Linked DNA regions of Rattus norvegicus. The protein of the gene in region 1 binds, or shares a complex with, the protein of each later gene. Links are inferred from orthologs where the notes say so. Each region holds a gene or a part of one and is shown on either strand. Other genes may lie near its edges.

Evidence for each region.
Region 2: the proteins of Hypk (region 1) and Naa10 are in contact, whole or in part, in a crystal structure (PDB 6C95), measured with the Homo sapiens proteins. The link is inferred for Rattus norvegicus from reciprocal best matches to the Homo sapiens genes HYPK and NAA10. Residues at the interface, in NP_057484.4 of Homo sapiens: Lys27, His28, Ser30, Gly31, Asp34, Leu35, Arg37, Val38; in NP_003482.1 of Homo sapiens: Glu24, Tyr26, Lys29, Tyr30, Tyr33, Lys59, Glu134, Lys136, Tyr137.

What each region holds. Positions count from the first base shown.
Region 1 is NC_086021.1:128,887,379-128,890,752, forward strand, and holds Hypk (huntingtin-interacting protein K), read left to right. Parts: upstream 1-1,338; 5' UTR 1,339-1,363; coding exon 1,364-1,525; intron 1,526-1,883; coding exon 1,884-1,939; intron 1,940-2,210; coding exon 2,211-2,262; coding exon of another isoform or gene 2,263-2,270; intron 2,271-2,397; coding exon 2,398-2,493; 3' UTR 2,494-2,711; downstream 2,712-3,374. Other genes in the region: Serinc4 (serine incorporator 4), read right to left, coding at 1-40, 195-359, 698-796. UniProt on the Homo sapiens protein: Component of several N-terminal acetyltransferase complexes. Inhibits the N-terminal acetylation activity of the N-terminal acetyltransferase NAA10-NAA15 complex (also called the NatA complex).
Region 2 is NC_086039.1:156,806,569-156,809,583, forward strand, and holds the end of Naa10 (N-alpha-acetyltransferase 10), read right to left. Parts: intron 2,000-3,015; coding exon of another isoform or gene 1,981-1,999; exon of another isoform or gene 1,966-1,980; intron 1,938-1,965; coding exon of another isoform or gene 1,925-1,937; exon of another isoform or gene 1,913-1,924; coding exon 1,828-1,912; intron 1,225-1,827; coding exon of another isoform or gene 1,134-1,224; coding exon 897-1,133; 3' UTR 810-896; downstream 1-809. UniProt on the Homo sapiens protein: Catalytic subunit of N-terminal acetyltransferase complexes which display alpha (N-terminal) acetyltransferase activity. Acetylates amino termini that are devoid of initiator methionine.

The DNA.
Region 1 (3,374 bases):
TGCCGAACAGGTGGGCACATAGCACTGAGGGCATCTGGATCTGCAGGGAGTTTGGTTGTGAGAAAAGTAAGGGCAAGCCATAATGCATGGACAGGTCCCAACTTTCCCCTGCTAGGTTGACTCCTTTGCTTCCTGTTCCCAATCAAAATCTTAACAGGTTTTTTTTCCTCATGTTGCAACCCCTGCCCACTTACCCCATGTGCTTTGCCCCAGACCCTTTCTACCACTGTCTTCGAAAGTAGGAGGCAGCAGATTGCTGAGGCTCCCATGTGGAGAAGGATGTAGAACAGGCGGCTACAAGTAGACTCGGTCAGAGAGTGGCAGCCACTGGTCCAAGAAACAGGCCCACAGCAGGACACCTGGGGATAGAGCAGATAGATGTAGGAAGCAATGGGGAGTTTTTCAAAGGGTTAACCAAAGGTCAAATTCCCAAACCCTCCATCCCACTGTCTGGTTATGAGCCACGTAGGATTACCTTCCACAGAGAACTAGTAAGGTTTTCATTGCAAGAACTTTAAACTTCAGTGTATGCATGAACCACTTACTTTTTCCTAATGATCTATGGTTGGGATGAGAGGTTTACCGATTACCCAGGCAAAGAACCAGGTTTCTGTCCCGAACTCCTAGTTTTTTAGCTATCTTTTGCTTAAGATATAAGCAAAGATCTCTTCAAGTCTCTTCCCAAATGTCATCTCACCTGATAGAAGGGGGTTTTCACTACGACATCGCTGACTCCACCGTGCTGCTGTGCAAAGCCCTGGGTGGTGCTACGGCCTGTGATGTCTTTTGCACCCATCAATTTTGGCCCAGAGGTTAGATCCTGTATTGGAAAAACTGATGAGGGACAGCAGCTTCTCAGGATTTTCACCCATTGGACAGTCGCTTTGCTGGCCTAATCATCCGTCTTAAGGCAGCAGCATGGGTTTTTCATAAAATGAATACAGATCACCGGGAAGTGGTAGATGCAAATACTCTTGTGAAGATGCCTTCACAGAGCTTCGGACTGTTTTCTAAGATTAGGAGCAGTTGGCCTATCTGGTCTGGGGATTAGGTTTTTTTTTTTAATTGGTTTAGGATTAGCCACCTTGATTGGACAGAATTCCTTGTGTGTGTGTCTGTGTGAAGGGATTGTTTTTAGGAACAGTGAGTTTGACTGGTGTGGGTAGTGAACAGACAGTCGAAGGAGACTGCAGAAAGCAAGCTGGAGAGGAAGTCAAAAGCGAACCTCTTTCCTAGCTGAAGCTTCTCAAGACAGGCACAAAGGTGTGGTCCAGCCCCTACCCCGCCCCTTATCTGGGCGGAAGCTGAGCGTTGCCGGAAGTTGTGAAGCGGCAGCCTATTGCGGCGGCGCGGTGAGATCGAAATGGCGACCGAGGGAGACGTGGAGCTCGAGTTAGAGACTGAGACCAGCGGCCCTGAGCGGCCTCCCGAGAAGCCAAGGAAACATGACAGTGGTGCTGCTGACCTAGAGCGGGTTACTGACTATGCGGAGGAGAAAGAGATCCAGAGTTCGAATCTTGAGACGGTGAGGTTGGCTGGGAGCTTGTATGAGAGGGGTTGAGAATGGGGCGGGAGTGAGGAGAGACTGACTGGTTTTGCTGCTCACCGGGGCTCCGGGACCCCTGATAGTCATAGTGGGATTTGGCAGTAGGGCGAGGCTAAGCGACAGCACTCAACCAGTCTGCGGTTTACTTAAGAATTTGATAAAAATGGGACCTAAATGTATCTCAAGGGCACGGAATGAAGCGTAGTCTTTTGGTCTTGAGAAAACTAGTAGTTGTGAATACCTGAAAAGCCACGTGGCTTTTATTTGTGGTGTTGTGTTTTAGATGGGAAAATTTGGGTCGCATGGTGGTAGGTAATTAGACTTGTGTTTTCTACAGGCTATGTCCGTCATTGGAGACAGACGGTCCAGGGAGCAAAAGGCCAAACAGGAGCGGTAAGTTTAAAGCCAGCGCTACCAGTAGGTCCTCCTTCTCCAGGGGGGGAAAGTTTTAATCTTTAGCCAACTCCTAAAGATCTAGGGGTTACAACTTTGTTGTTAGTGGAAGGAAAGGTTCCTGGATATCTTAATGTAAAACTTCCAGGGGCGCGTTTATTTGCTATTTTCAGTCAACCTGTTCTACTCATTTTCAGTGTGTACCTGTGAGTGTTCCTTCTGGGAGTTTATAGCAGAGGCAGAGAATGAAAACAAATGTATATATTTACAGGGAGAAGGAACTGGCGAAGGTCACTATCAAGAAGGAAGATCTGGAGTTGATAGTGAGTAGTAATGCTTTAATGGATTCACAAGAGAAGTTCTACCCACGCTGGGTTCCTTAAACAAGTGGAGCCAAAGTTTGTTGTAAAATTTATGCCTGAGAAGAGGCTTCAGTGACGTGATTTTCCCTCTTGCAGATGACAGAAATGGAGATCTCTCGAGCAGCAGCCGAAAGGAGCTTGAGGGAACACATGGGCAATGTGGTGGAGGCTCTTATTGCCCTAACCAACTGATAAAGTGTGTTTAGACATTCTGGACTGATTTACGGAAATAAAGTGTTCTGTTTTGCTGTTTTTTTTTTTTTTTTTTTTCCAGTTTTATCCCAGATCAAATGCATTATATATCCTATTTTATTGTCAGTTTCTATGTTGGACCTTGATGAAACCGTATGAACAATCAGTGTAAAGAAGTACCTAATGTTCAAATACAGGCTCTGTTTTTATTACCCTTATTCTGTGTGTGTGTCTAGGCACTCTCCTGCCATAGTGTTTCTACCATATGGGAATGGAATTCAAGTGCCCTTTTTCACTAGGTTATCTCCCCAGCTCTAAGCAGCAGATTCCAGGTGGTATGTGAGTTTCTCTCATCTGACTAGCTCGCTCTTGCCAATATAGAGTACATTTGGATCCTCTGCAAAAGATCCACATGCATGTTTCTAGGATAGCTTATGCTATCTGTTTTTCTCAGATCGGTTCTTTCTGTATAAGCCAGGCTGTTTTCAAGCTCAGATCCCCTCCCTAACTTGAGAGCTGCTTCATTCAGCTACCCTTACCAGCTCTTCAAGGCTATGTTAGGAATAGCGAGACTAGCTCCTGTTTATAAGCAACTGGAATAAACATTCAGGTTCTAGAAAGGGAAACATCATTTATTAAAATGTTGGATCAGGGCTGGAGCTATGACTCAGTAAGTACCTGCCTCAAAAACAAAATGAGTTTGGATTTCCACTAATGCCCTAAAAACCCAGGAGTGGTGGGATGCTCCTGTAACCATGCCCTGGGGACTGTGCTGAGACAGGCAGCTGGGACTCAGGAACTTGTGAGGTCATAGCACCAAACACAGTAGAGTGACTAAGGGAATAACACCAACTTCTTGAGTTCCACCAGCCTGTACATGG
Region 2 (3,015 bases), on another chromosome or scaffold:
AAAGCATAGAACTGTCTTGTCTTGTTTTTCTGCATAGCCTTGTCCTGAACTCATTTTGTAGACCAGGCTAGTTTGGAGCTTAAAAGACAGATCCACCTGCCTCTGCCTCCCAAGTGCTGGGATTAAAGGAGTGTGCCACCACTGCCTCACAGCAAATATAAAATATTAATGGAGGAGTGGTTCACGCCTGTAATCCCAGCACGTTAGAGTCTGAGGCAGGATTGGCATAGGTTTGAGGCCAGCCTGGGCTACATAATGAGTTCCAGGCCAGCTTGGGCTAAGTAAGAGATCCTGTTTCACAAAAAAATTTTTTAAAAGGCTACAGATAGGAAAAGCCTGAGCAACTGGGTAACTGAATAGGCCAGGATCCAGCTAGGATCTCTCCAGATAAGTGCAAAGAGGAGTTGGACTTAAGCACTTGGGGTCCAGGAGGTATAAACTGGAGCTCCTACTGATGAGAGAGCAAGTATGACTAGGAGTAAAGGGCTGAGAGGGTAAAGCAATGCAGCAAAGAACATCAAGGTAGGGGAGCTGCCTCTGAAATGTGAGGCTGAATAGAAAACCCAAGAAATCATTTTGTTCAGCCCTAGAAAATTACTAAAGATGTTACAGAGATCTGTAGAAGGCCAGGAAAGTGACATGAGAATATGGCACCCAAGACAGTTTATCTGCCAACTCCAACTCAGTTGTTGAAGGAAGCCAGATTGGGGTCCCATCCTCAAACATTTGACTTGTGAGCTCAGTACGCTCTGGGCTGTGAAGATAGTATCCCTGCCATATAGGAGCTGGAAAAAAAGCATACCCCACTATGCACATTCACAAATTTCCCAAGGCCACTGGGTGACATTTATTGTAAAAAGCACATGGGGTGAGGTTGGGACCAGGTAGGGCAGGTTCTAGGAGGCAGAATCAGAGGCCTCTGAGCTGTCTTTGACATCTGTGCTTTCTGTGGTCTCACTGACCTCACTGAGGTCCTTGCTGTCCCCACCACTATCCTCAGCAGTCAGGCCCTTCTCCTCACGACAGGCCTCTCCTGAGCTCAGAAGCACGTTGCCTTTGTTCTCCGCCTTGTTCTCCATGGCCGACAGCACCATGTGCCTGCCCTTTTCCTTCAGCTCCAGGTGCCGCCTCAGCTGCCGCCGGGAGCCCAGAGGGAAGCGGGTGGAAAGAGACAGGGCCTAAGTCTCCAGACAGGAGACAAGAGGAGCCAGGCCCTGGGGCTGGCTGGGGGAAGGGACACAGTGAGAAGTGGTAGGGCCAAGGCAGGAAATAGGACTGGGTAGAAATGTAGTTCAATCCTACCTCTGTCCTAAGCCTGCTTCATCTGTAAAATGACATGAGTTCTATTGCCCTCAAATACGCTGCTGGGAAGCCCCCAAGACAGAGCAGTGCCTTTCCAGGAGGCTTGGTCAGAGAGACCCTTTCTCCCTAGCCCAGTTTAATCCTAGATCTGAGCAGGCTGCCCCCAACCATAGTAGTCCCAATTCCTCTGTTAAAAAAAAAATCTTCCTACTGTCTCTCCTATTCCACCCATCTCCAGACTTCTTCCCCAGAAAGCATCCCATGGCCTCCTTTACAGTCAATGAAGGCCATGCCCTGACTTGACAGCTTAGGGAGTAAGGGAAAGAGGGGCTCTGATTCCTAGCTTTACAACCACAAAAGCTGACACTCAGTCTCGGTCTTGCCTCTAGTCGCCACTGCCTCACTCTGTCTCACAGCTCTTTGACATCTGTACTTTCTGTGGTCTCACTGAAAATAGACACCTTTCCCAATTACAGAATCTCCTCTACTGCTGGAATTGCTGCCCTGGCCTGGCTGAACTCTTACCTCATCAGCCATCTGCGTGAGGTCCCGCTTCATTGCATATGCATCTTCCCCATCTGCATAGTATTTGGGCTCCACTTCGCTGATCCTGGGGGTAGGATCAAGACACATGCCTAGGGGCAAATTCTCCAGGTTCTTAGGCTACTGGGGTAAATGTCATCTCCCCCTGTAGGACCTTTGTAGAGGCAAAAAGCCAGTGTAAATGGGTTTCTCCTTTTTGTTTTTCATTTGACTGGATTCTTGTTCAACAGCTATGATAGTTTTCTCTGCTCTTCAAGTAAAGCCAAATAGCATGTAGCATCCAGGGCACTTCTGATTCCTAGACTTGCTACCACTTTGTCCCTAGCCCAACCATCAAGGACTTGTGTATTGAGTTGAAGTCCTTAATTCTGCCTTCCTCTCCCTGACCTGCTCCCTGTTATTTACTGAACACATAGTTCCTCTGCTAGGAAAGAGGGACACTGTACCTGCATGTAGATGGTCATCATAGACAACCTGGTTACTCACCAGATGGATGAGGGGAGGGAGGTGTGTGTGCACAATTAAGTATCCCTGACACTGGAAGAGAAACCCGTTGATGACCTAGGAAGGTTCCTTGCCAGTCTTTAGGGATACATGCTGGGTAACTTCCTCAGTTGCTTTCCATCTTATTTTTTTCAAAATAGGGTCTCTTACTGAATCTGGAACTTGTCCATTCAACTAGGCTTGTTGATTAGTGAACCCTAGGGATTCTCTTGTCTTAACCTCTTCAGCACTAGGATAATAGGTACAGGGCACTGTATGTGGCTTTTATACATGAGTGCCAGGCATCAAACACAAGTCCTCACAATTAAGCTATCTCCTCAGCACCCATCTTTTGAGACAGGGTCTTGCTATGTGGTTGAGACTAACCTGGAACTCCCTATGCTGGGACTGCAACCCACAGTCCTCCACTTTGAGTGCAGAGATTAAGAGACATGTACTACCATACCCAGCTGGGAACTGCTGACTTAGCAGGTAAAGCAGTTCCTGCCACAGAGGCATCTTAACTAGGTCAAAAGTCCCTCCATGAATATGGATGTTGAACCCAGAAAAGCTGAAGACCACCATCCTGTTCCAATGGTGTCATCTTCACTGGACCCCCTCAAAGTCTAGTGTGGCTCAGTGGTTCCTCAAGTTAGTCTATTCGAGCCTCACTTTCAAGTGGCACTA